Ovis aries: one gene and its partners. The protein of the gene in region 2 purifies or fractionates together with the protein of the main gene of each other region. This does not show direct contact. Links are inferred from orthologs where the notes say so. Each region holds a gene or a part of one and is shown on either strand. Other genes may lie near its edges.

Evidence for each region. Proteins that work in one complex are often made in the same cells at the same time.
Region 1: the proteins of DNAJC7 (region 2) and STIP1 purify together in Homo sapiens (affinity purification with mass spectrometry; 4 studies listed by BioGRID and IntAct, with this or other methods). This does not show direct contact. The link is inferred for Ovis aries from reciprocal best matches to the Homo sapiens genes DNAJC7 and STIP1.
Region 3: the proteins of DNAJC7 (region 2) and PLD2 purify together in Homo sapiens (affinity purification with mass spectrometry; 3 studies listed by BioGRID and IntAct, counting the BioPlex papers as one, with this or other methods). This does not show direct contact. The link is inferred for Ovis aries from reciprocal best matches to the Homo sapiens genes DNAJC7 and PLD2.

The regions. Positions count from the first base shown.
Region 1 is NC_056074.1:38,944,590-38,948,334, reverse strand, and holds the start of STIP1 (stress-induced-phosphoprotein 1), read right to left. Parts: upstream 2,716-3,745; 5' UTR 1,890-2,715; coding exon 1,713-1,889; intron 1-1,712. UniProt on the Homo sapiens protein: Acts as a co-chaperone for HSP90AA1. Mediates the association of the molecular chaperones HSPA8/HSC70 and HSP90.
Region 2 is NC_056064.1:41,897,125-41,900,869, forward strand, and holds the start of DNAJC7 (dnaJ homolog subfamily C member 7), read right to left. Parts: upstream 2,785-3,745; 5' UTR 2,770-2,784; coding exon 2,693-2,769; exon of another isoform or gene 1,485-2,692; intron 1-1,484. UniProt on the Homo sapiens protein: Acts as a co-chaperone regulating the molecular chaperones HSP70 and HSP90 in folding of steroid receptors, such as the glucocorticoid receptor and the progesterone receptor.
Region 3 is NC_056064.1:26,431,823-26,435,567, reverse strand, and holds the start of PLD2 (phospholipase D2), read left to right. Parts: upstream 1-1,539; 5' UTR 1,540-1,611; intron 1,612-2,150; 5' UTR 2,151-2,151; coding exon 2,152-2,260; intron 2,261-2,346; coding exon 2,347-2,477; intron 2,478-2,579; coding exon 2,580-2,722; intron 2,723-3,158; coding exon 3,159-3,264; intron 3,265-3,356; coding exon 3,357-3,422; intron 3,423-3,542; coding exon 3,543-3,601; intron 3,602-3,745.

The DNA of each region.
Region 1 (3,745 bases), on a different chromosome or scaffold from region 2:
GATGCGACTTGGCGACTAAGCAAGATGATTGTGTGCTAAAAATTTGTGCGTGCATTTGAACTGATAAAATAAATTTATATCAACTGACACATAATTTTTCCAGTTCTATGCCTGCCTGTATGTGGTCAAATTTTAAGTTTTATCACTGTGAGATTTTATTTGAAAGGTACTTAAGTTTAAAAAAACAATTTTACACACTCAAAATTTCTCCAATTTGAGTTATTTCCTAAAACTGAAACATGCATCTAAGAGGGAAAGAAAGGTTACATGTTGAATGGATGCAGGACAGTGGGTTTCAGCACACCTGGCCATCTTGCACAATGGCCCTGGTAAACATGCAGTCCCTGAGCTCACTCACTCGGTCTACCTGCATGTACACTTCTACTATGGGCAACTGGGATAAAACAAAATTTTTTTCCCGTATTTTGATAACTTCAGTTTGAGATCTCTGCTTGAATTTAAAACCAGTTTCTTGTCTATATCACAGCCTATTCAATCCCAGACACAATTTAGTTATCATGAGGGTGCAAAATGTTTAAACTCTCACTTTCCACTCTTAATTTTTTAAAAATTTAGCAAAGAAGCTCCACATTTGGCTAAAGGGAGCAATAGGTATACAAAGGTAAAAGATTCCGTTTTGTAGATCACACCAATAAAAACTCCGAGCTGTTCCTCCTCCTCTCCCCAATCAACCATTACAGCCCAATAACAGGTTCCAATTCAATAAACCTCTCTAGGCGTCTCACAACCCTCAGGCCACAGAGGACACAATTAACTCACAGAGAGTAACCCACAACAGCCTCAAACTCAGCCTCCCAATAACGCTGAAAGGAATCAAACAACTTACTTCTCGCTGCTTAACTATATACTTTAAATTTTCTAACGCAACTAACTCCTCCTCGTGCAATTAAAAACCCACGTTTTAGAAGAACCAGTCCTCGGTTAATTCTTGAATCACACACACAAAGAAAAAACGAAGACGGGGAGGTGCTGCACATACGATTTGTAAAACCCTGGCAGAGATGAAATTCATTCCAAGGACTTCTGTTGCACCCTCTCCTTTCCCGAATCAAGCTAAGAAGTCGGCCTGCTGCTCATCATACCTTCACTCAACACTCTTCCACCCCGGCCTGCCATGCAGAGAAATAGGGTTTCCCCGCAACTGGTTACCGAGTCCATCAGCTACTTGCAGTGTAATCCCGTCCCCGCGTTCCTCCAAGTTAACTGGGGCCAAGTCCTGGGTAACAACCTCTTTGCAATCTCTGATCTCTCTCCCAAAAGACGAATTCCCAGAGGTTGACCTGATCCCTCTCGCCCTTCGCAAGGCCCCTCGCCCACCTCCAGCCCTCCGAACGCCGCGGGCGCCATCCCCTTGCTCAGCCTGGACCCACGTCCTGGGAGGCCTCAGGGGCCCAGCCGCGGCTCCTCTTCCCGCCGCGGGCCAGACTTAAGCCGAACCGGTGCGTCCCCCGGCCCATCTCGCCGAGTTGACTGGCGACGGGCACTGAGGCGACCCCGCGCTCCCCGCCGCCAGGCCTCGCTCCCCGTCCGCCCGCCGCGGCCCTCACGCCCTCGCCCTCCCCGCGGTTCCGCCGACCCCGGCCCCCGCCCCGGCCACAACAATCGGGCGCCCGCCCCGCCCCTCCACCCACCGCCCGGCTTTGGCGGGTCCCAGAGCGGCCACGGGCCTCTGCCCGCCCCTCCCCCTTCACCTGCTCCATAGCCCGGTCCGGAACCCCGTTGAATAGACTCCGTCGGCTCCGCGTTCCCAACCGCACGCGCCGCCTTCTGGAACCTACTAGAAGCTGCCGGGACCCCCAGATCCCGCCTCTTCCTCGCCGGCTCACTGGTCGCTTTCCTCTAGGGGGCTTTCTAAGGTTTCCTACCATTGGCTCGAAGTCTAGCCCATCATCTTTGCTTCTCTCTCATTGGACAGTGGGGAGAGTCCTGCCTCCCCCGCGTTTCGAGACTGGACGTTGCTCTGAAAGCCCCACCCATCATATACTCTATGATTGGAGGGAGGGGCGGACCTCTGCGGCACCGATTGGTCATTTATCCCGCCAATCATGGCCGCGCTGGCCGCGCCCATTGGTTCTGTTCTTTCTGGAAATTTCCACCTCTCCCATTGGGCTGACAGACTCCGTGACAGAACCGCCTTCAGATTTAAAAAAATTTCAATTGGTCGGTGGTTGCAGACACTTTGCTCTGGTAGGTTTAAATTGCTGCCCTTCAAAGAGCAGGGTAGGCTTTTTACAGCATCGGTGGCTTATGGGAGTCCGAGGCCACAGACACCCTCTGCAGTGGTGGTTTCTGAGGGTGTGGGTTTGGTGGGTCCGCCCGGGCCGCTTCTTCCGTTGGTCTGCGGCGAGTCAGTCTGAAGCAGTTCGCTTCTCTCCGGCGGCATTGAGTCTTGGTCCTTCGCCGGAGTGTCAGGGTCCCAGCCAGTGGGGGTGACCGTTTGGATCGGCCTCGGGAGCGCACCCTGGCCCGTCCCTGAGTCCCAATATTGGGTTCTGGGTGTCCCCAAATCCCGCGTGATGGTGAAGGCGCTGGGGCTCGGGTAGGACAGGCTCTGAATTATATCTTGGCCAATCTCCTCGGTGGAGACGCACACCCTCGCTGAACCTCTCAGGTAGAGGGCCGTGGCGTGGGATCGTTCACATTCGTGCAGTAGAGTTTTTAGCAGTTAATGAAGGGGCTCTGCCTCCGTTATTCGGAGGTAAAGGGATGAAGGAAACAAAAGACCTCACTGAGGTGCTTGATCACCTACTGGAGGGCGGCGGCGGCGTCCTGGGCGGTTCTTAAAATTGTTGCCCTCTTGCGAAAGGCAGGACAGGTACTTGCAGAGAAACAGAAAGGGCTAGAGCGTCAGAGAGAAATGATCTCATTCTGGGCCAGTGCGTGGTTCACGGAACAAAGGCCCTGTATGTCTGGGGTCTAGAGGGAGCTTGAGTGAGGGTCTTAGGCACTGCTGTGCTCGCCCCACCTCCCCACCCCCAGCTGGGTAATGCCATCCCTTCCCTGTGTTTTAGCTGCCCTTTATGCCAATAGGTTGTCACAGGGTCCTCTTCCATCCCAGCTCTGTGACCCCTTTCTCAGACATTGCAACCTAGGTCGCTGCAGATCGCATGCCTCCCTTGATAACCCCCTCCCTTGCTTGGACCTTTGGAAGCTTTAGACGGGATCAGGGCCTACCTGACGGGCCTACTTTTCCCATCTGTTCTTTGCCTGTCCTCCACCTTCAGCACCAAACTCCAGGCGCACTCTCGTCTGTTCCTTGAGCTACGTGGGCTCCTTTATTTTGGGCCTGCCTGCAAGATGTTTCCTCTGCTGGCATCCCCCTTCCACCAACTCTACCAGGTCTTGCAGGCTGATAAGAGTTGTCAAGGTTCTCTGGCGATCTGCTTGCAAACAGCTCACTCATTTCTGTCCACCAATTCATTTGCTGTCACTACTCCATGGGCCAGGCGTGTCCAATTACAGCAGCAACTTTGGTATACATGCGTGGCATATTTTGTAGGGCCTACAAGGGCCTTGTGTCTATTTCTGTTTATATCCTTGTCTTCCAGGTAGGTTACACAGTGTCTTGCACCTAGCTTAATTAATCAAATATGCCCTGTAGTGTTTTAGGTATAATGTGGGCACTGGGGAAGTGCAGTGAGGAATTAAAAAAATCACTGTTTTGTAGTGCTCATTTTAGTAAGAGAGATAAGCTCAAAAAAAAAAAAAAAAAAAGTTTGCACGT
Region 2 (3,745 bases):
TAAAGGGCATTTGTAAGAGACATACCTATTCCTGCCCTCTGCTGTGAATACACAGGAGGACTCCAGAATACATAAAAAATGCGAAACCATTTTCCTCAAAACCTCTAAGTCACCACTCCATTTTCAGCATTGGAAATCTACATATAAACAAGGCTTTTTCTCACTAACAGAGTCCAATATTTACCCCCCTAAGGATGTTCTACAAGACACAAAGTGAAACTGTGATATTTTTGCTTATTTCATTATATTTTCCTTTTGACTTTTTTAATGTGATAGACAGTAAACATTTATATTTTATTATGTTTTAAAAAGATCTAAAAAAAATAAAAATAAGAAGATCTATATGTTTAACATACAAGTCTATTTCATAAGGATGCTTTTTTGTTTTTTTCTTGCTGCTGCTGCTGCTAAGTCGCTTCAGTCATGTCCAACTCTGTGCGACCCCAGAGACGGCAGCCCACCAGGCTCCCGCGTCCCTGGGATTCTCCAGGCAAGAACACTGGACTGGGTTGCCATTTCCTTCTCCAATGCATGAAAGTGAAAAGTGAAAGTGAAGTCGCTCAGTCGTGTCCGACTCTTAGCGACCCCATGGACTGCAGCCCACCAGGCTCCTCCATCCATGGGATTTTCCAGGCAAGAGTACTGGAGTGGGGTGCCATTGCCTTTTTTTTCTTAGTGGTAGCTAAAACAACCATGTATTTTACACTCAATGAAATCTTGAACTCCATGAAATAAGGCAGTTAACGTGAGTTAACACCTTTCCTTATTCTGTTAACTGCCTGCAAATATCGTGTTTTTGTGTGTATGATGGGGGTCCCCAGGCAGTGCAGTGGTAAAGAATCTGCCTGCCAAGGCAGGAGATGCAGGTTCGATCCCTGGGTCAGGAAGACTGCCTGGAGGAGGAAATGGCAACCCACTCCAGTATTCTTGCCTGGAAAATTCCATGGACAGAGGAGCCTGGTGAGCTATAGTCTGTGGGGTCAGACTGAGCAGACAAGTGCTATCACCTGGTCACATTACAGCAGCACCTGTTTTACCTTTTCTTATGATAGAGTATCGGAGAAGGCAAAAGCACCCCACTCCAGTACTCTTGCCTGGAAAATCCCATGGATGGAGGAGCCTGGAAGGCTGCAGTCCATGGGGTCGCTGAGGGTAGGACACAACTGAGCGACTTCACTTTCACTTTTCATTTTCATGCACTGGAGAAGGAAATGGCAACCTACTCCAGTGTTCTTGCCTGGGGAATCCCAGGGACGGCAGAGCCTGGTGGGCTGCTGTCGATGGGGTCGCAGAGTCAGACACGACTGAAGTGACTTAGCAGCATGATAGAATATCCTCTAAGGCTGAAACTTTTTTTTAAGGGAAAAGATTTGGTTTACACAGGGGCTTTGATGTGAAACTCAAATTAGGGACAGTGCCTACATCAGAAATTTATACTGAATTCACTTTAAATTACATATAGTCCATCCCAGGGACCTACTAACCTGCAAATTACATTTTGTCAAGGTTCTCAGCTCCCAACAAGTCAGGAACTTGAGACAATTGGCTGCAGTAACCACCTTTAAGCTAGTTAACTATTCATTCTGCCTCCTTGAGTACTTCTTGTTTCAAATCTGGATAGTTAAAAAGAAAAAAAAAAAATCTCGGAATCCTGATTTCAGATCTCATGAACTAACCACCACCTCAAACCACCCAGACTGAAGCCAGAATGGCCTTGATATAAAGATAAGAAATATGTGGGAAAGAGACTGTGGAACTGTAGTCAATTAACTCGCAGTTTATAAAGAAAGGGCTACAAACTTCCAGAAGCTTTTTGTTAATTCTGCTCCATATTCAGGACAAGTATGACTATCCACAACTGTGTTCCAGCCCCACTTCCAATAACCTGCCTTAGCTGTAGCCAAAATCCAGAGTGTTCTCGAAAACCACTCACTCAGCAGCTCCCTTGGCTGGTCCGGACTGGCAATCTCGAGCCACTGCGGCTGCCCAGCAGCGCCAACAGCCCAAGCAGCTGCCCTCCTCCTTGCTGCTTAACTTAAAAAACAGCCCTGGGAAGAATGAGGATCTTTGGAAGGGTGGAGGGAGAGGGTTTGACGTGTACAGCATGAGACAAAACCCCTCACCCTTCTTTTTCTTTCTCTATCACCTTCCACTTCTGGGGTAACCGAAGGGCCACCAGGTCGATCATAGAGACACACACAGTCACCTCGGGCCCAACTAGTGCTCGCTGGGCTACGATTACGAAGGAAAGGGGTGAGGACAGCCAAAGCTCTGGAGATGCAAAGGGCTGATAGACAACAAGGTACAGAAATTAACAAGAGAAGAAATTAACAAGAGAAGGAGGGAGTCGGGGGCGGTGTAAGAAGCCAGCATTATTGCGGTGCCGCCTCCTCCGCCCCGCAAAAGACCTCCAAGATCCCCTCAGAGACCTGGCCTCTACAACGAGAACGACCTTCCTCTCTGCTTGGGGTACAAGGCCATACCTCAGCTCCTCAGCAAGGCGGAAGCGGGAGAGGAGGGCAAACCTCCAAGAGCGCCCCTTCAGGGGGTCCATCCGGACTTAATCTCAGATTGGGGGGGGGTCTCGGAGGGCGGGGCATCGCCTCTACAGGGGTTGCACCACAGCAAGGACGGGGTTCCCGGAGCCATGGAGCTGAAGCTCGCCTCTTCCCCTACCCTGCCACCCAGTTACCTCTTCGCCTCCTCGTCGTCTAGCAGCTCTGGCTCGGTCGCCGCCATTACCACATCGCACTCAGCGGCAGCCGCCATCTTACCGCCGGGACCAAAGAGCCGGGTGGGAGGTCGGCGGTGAAGAGCACTTCCGGTCGGAGCATCGAGCAGCTCACCGGCGCTGCGCCCAGAGGGGCTCCTTCGGGCCGGTCTACCAGCGAGAGGCTCCGCTTCGGGCCAGAGCGGCCTCCCGCCCCCGGAGGCCCAGGGTGGTCTCCGCGCCGGGGCGGGGGGCCAAGGACGGTTCCTGTGCGTAGGGGGCGCCACTTTACCCGTGGGGGCCGAAGAGGGTATAAGAGGGTGTCGCCTCTCTAGGCTTCGGCTTTCCTCAGTATTCCGAGAGCTTCGTTGCCATAACAACTTCCAATCCTAGAGCGTCTCTGGTGATGCTCCGGGAGTCTGAGTTGGGTACGGACGCGGTGACCCAGGACTCTGGAGATAAAGAGCCCCCCCCCTACTAATACCTTCCCGACCTTTGAGTATGTCCACAGCCGCCTCCTGCGAAAGGCAAGAAGAGACACTTTGAATCCAGTTTTCCTAGTGTTCAACGGCCCCTGGAAGCCCTGCCCAACCAAGCCTGGGGAACGCAGGGCGTCTTCGCACCGCGCCTTTCATCCCCTCTGGACCTCCAAGTACCAACTGGTTCCTCACCCTAATGACGCTGACCCTTTTATGAGGCTGCTTTCATGTCAGCCGCCTGGGAGTGCCATCTCAGCATTAAGCCTAGGGAGGGTGACACAGAGCCCCAGACCCTGCCCTGGAGTTTATAAGGCAGCTCGCAGGGTGAGGTCCCTGTTCCACAGTGTCCCCAGTGCTCCCAACCCTCATATAAACTCCCTGCTCAGCACGCTTGTTTTGCCGAATGCAATCTGGATTGGGAACTCAGACAGGGCAAGGACACAGCTTAATTTTCGTAGCCCTTCACCCAGACCAATAATTTTTGTGGACCTGACTTAAATTGGGGTTTGAGAGTCCCTTGGACTGCAAGGAGATCCAACTAGTCCATTCTAAAGGA
Region 3 (3,745 bases), about 15 Mb from region 2:
CCAACTTCTTCACTCTCCTTTTTCACTTTCATCAAGAGGCTCTTTAGTTCTTCACTTTCTGCCATAAGGGTGGTGTCATCTGCATTTCTGAGGTTATTGATATTTCTCCCAGCAATCTTGATTCCAGCTTGTGCTTCTTCCAGCCCAGCGTTTCTCATGATGTACTCGCCATAGAAGTTAAATAAGCAGGGTGACAATATACAGCCTTGACATACTCCTTTTCCTATTTGGAACCAGTCTGTTGTTCCATGTCCAGTTCTAACTGTTACTTCCTGACCTGCAAACAGGTTTCTCAAAAGGCAGGTCAGGTGGTCTGGTATTCCCATCTGTTGAAGAATTTTCCACAGTTGATTGTGATCCACACAATCAAATGCTTTGGCATAGTTAATAAAGCAGAAATAGATATTTTCCTGGAACTCTCTTGCTTTTTCGATGATCCAGCGGATGTTGGCAATTTGATCTCTGGTTCCTCTGCCTTTTCCAAAACCAGCTTGAATATCTGGAAGTTCATGTATTGCTTAAGCCTGGCTTGGAGAATTTTAAGCATCACTTTACTAGTGTGTGAGATGAGTGCAATTGTGCAGTAGTTTGAGCATTCTTTGGCACTGCCTTTCTTTGGGATTGGAATGAAAACTGTCTCCTTTTCCAGTCCTGTGGCCGCTGCTGAGTTTTCCAAATTTGCTGGCATATTGAGTGCAGCACTTTCACAGCATCATCTTTGAGGATGTGAAACAGCTCAACTGGAATTCCATTACCTCCACTAGCTTTGTTTGTAGTGATGCTTCCTATAGGAGCTTTATTCACAATAGACAAAAGCTAGAAACAACCCAAAATGCCATCAAGAAATGTCCATCAACCCATTCTTCCATCTAGAAGAGATAAAGGAATCTGCTTTGAAAAAAATGAAATATTTTGTCTTTTAGAATCTGAAATTTTTCCTGTTTGCCCCTAGACTGCTAGATTTAGAAGAGCAGTTCGTGTTAGTCTTGTTCATGACTGTAGGCTCGGAGTCTGGCGACGCGCAAGGACGCAATAAACAGTGAATGAATGAAAGAAAGCAAAGTTGCGCACGTTAATGAATCTGTGGGCACCACCTCTCCGGCCTTTTATCATTCCTTTCTTCTACAAACGCTGGCTAAGCCGGCCCGATGTGGTTCGCAGCCCGCCCTAGAAATGAGTACTGCCAGGTCCCGGCCCCGGAGGCGCGTCCCGCCAGGAGCGGCCGGAGACGACCCTGGGTGCTGGCGCCCGAGTGGAGGAAGGTCGCTGAACGCCCACAGGGCACAGTCCGGGCCCGCGCGGACCGACGGCGCGGGACAGACGGACAGCCAGGCGGACGGCGCCGCACGGATGCGAGAAGCGGGCGGCGCGGTCCAGTAGAGCTGACGGCGGCCCCGCGTCCCGACTGCGCGCAGGACGCCGGGGCGGGCCGAGGGCGGCGGAGGCGGGACAGGACAGACGAGAATCACGCGGAGGTGAGGCCGGGGGCCCGTCACGCCCCCGAGGGCAGGCCCTGAGCGCCCGCTCCGCCCTGGCCCTGTGGGGTGTGGACTCCAGCTCCGGCTCTGCTCCGCTCGCGAAGACGCGCCGCCGCCCGCTCGGGCTGTCCCGGTGAGGGGGCCGGGAAGGGGGCGCCACGGAGATCCCGGGCCCAGGAGATCTGGCTGGGACAGGAATGCGCTTGGGCTGCGGGGCCTCATGACTCAGCCGCATGCTCAGATTTCGGGGTTTCTTTCCTGGGCGGGGAACGCTTAACTTCCTCATTCCTGCCTGGACCCCTTCTTCCAGCTGGCTTGGCCTGTCTGGAGACCCGGCGGCTCCGGACCCCTTGCAACCCTCCCGGGGCCCCTTCCTCTGCCCCGCTTCGGGGCCCATCCGGGCCTGGCCGGTTGTTCCTTGGCATCCTGATTAAGGGACAGGAGGCGGGGCTCGGAAGTTTTGGATGAAGGATCAGAGATAGGGGATGGAGATTAGAGGCGAATTGGCAGGGCAGTGCGGACCGATGGATTCTAATCAAAGAGAGATTAAGTCAGCGGGAGCCGGGTGGGGGAAAGCGGGGGACCTGGGGCGACCGAGGACCGTGGGGGTGGAATGGGGGGATAGAGTTCTGCAGAGCGGATCACCGTTCTGAGGCCTCCCCATATTCCCAGGATGGCGGCAACCCCCCGGAGCCTTTTCCCCTCTGGGGATGACCTGGACTCCAGCCAGTTACAGATGGAGCCCGATGAGGTGGACACCCTGAAGGAGGGAGAGGACCCAGGTACACAGGGAGGACGGTCTCCGGGAGAGGAGGAGGAGGGCTGAGACCTCCTGGAGTCCACATTCTTCCACTTTCTTTCCCACCAGCCGACCGGATGCACCCCTTTCTGGCCATCTACCACCTCCAGCCTCTGAAAACGCACCCCTTGCTGTTTGCCCCTGGGGTCCCCGTCATAGCTCAGGTGGTGGGCACTGAAAGATACACCAGTGGATCCAAGGTGGCTGGGCTGGCCCCAAGGGAGTGGGGATGGGGAGGGCTGGCCAGAGTGAGGGGCTGCCTTCCCACCAGGGAACATCCATTCAGTTCCTCCCTCCCACAGGTGGGCACCTGCACTCTGTATTCTGTGCGCCTGACTCACGGTGACTTCACCTGGACAACCAAGAAGAAGTTCCGTCATTTCCAGGAGCTGCATCGGGACCTCCTGAGACATAAAGTCTTCATGAGTCTGCTCCCTCTGGCTCGGTGAGGGGGATAAGGCTGCCTCCTGTGTAGGACAGATGCCCCTCACCTCGAGGCAGCCGGGGGTGTCTGCCCCAGCCCCCATCGCTGCTTTCTGCCTGTCTCATCCCCAGGCCACAGCTGACCCTACCCCAGCTACTTTCCTCCCCCAACTCTGGCCACTGGGCTCCCTCTACCTCCTCTGACCCCAGTTACCAGGAAACCTTCCCTGTTCAGCTCTGCCTGTCTGTGGTTCTGGGCCAGTATCTCAGCTGGGCTGGATGCCCAAAGTGCCCTTGGCAGCCTCCCACCTTTTTCTGTCTCCATCCTCAGGGTAGGGGGCATTCCTGCTGCTACCCTCTAGGTCTCCTCGCCTTTTCCAAGTCCCCGCCTCCAGTGCTTCAGGATCCCAGGCACTGAGCCTCCAGCTCCTATTGACCCTCCCTCATCCCTTCCACAGTTTTGCTGTTGCTTCATCTCCAGCCCCAGAGGGAGACAGCAGAGAGATACCCTCTCTACCCCGAGCAGGTCCTGAGGGCTCCTCCAGACGTACCTCTAGCAAGCAGGTAGGACCAGACACCAGGTCCTCTGGGAAGGTGTTTGGGTGCAAATGGCTCTGGTCCCATCCGTCTTTCTGTCTCCCATCCCTTCACTTCAGAAATACCTGGAGAATTATCTCAACCGCCTCCTGACCATGTCTTTCTATCGCAACTACCATGCCATGGTAAGGTCAGGGGCTGGCGCCGGGTCCCTTGAGATAAATCAGGGGGCAGAGGACCAGGGTTGGTAGGATTTGAGGGACTGACAACGAGTCTCTCCTCTGAGCCTTTTTCTTCCTCTGCAGACAGAGTTCCTGGAAGTCAGTCAGCTGTCCTTTATCCCAGACCTTGGATGCAAAGGATTGTGAGTGTCTGACACTTTTCACCCACCGTCTGCCAATGTCTGAATCTCTCCCTCCCCGAGAATAGGGAAAGCAGGGCAGGGTGGGCTGGGAGTCTGATTTTATCCCCACAGGTTTGAACCCTGGATCCCTCTCCAGCGCCTCTT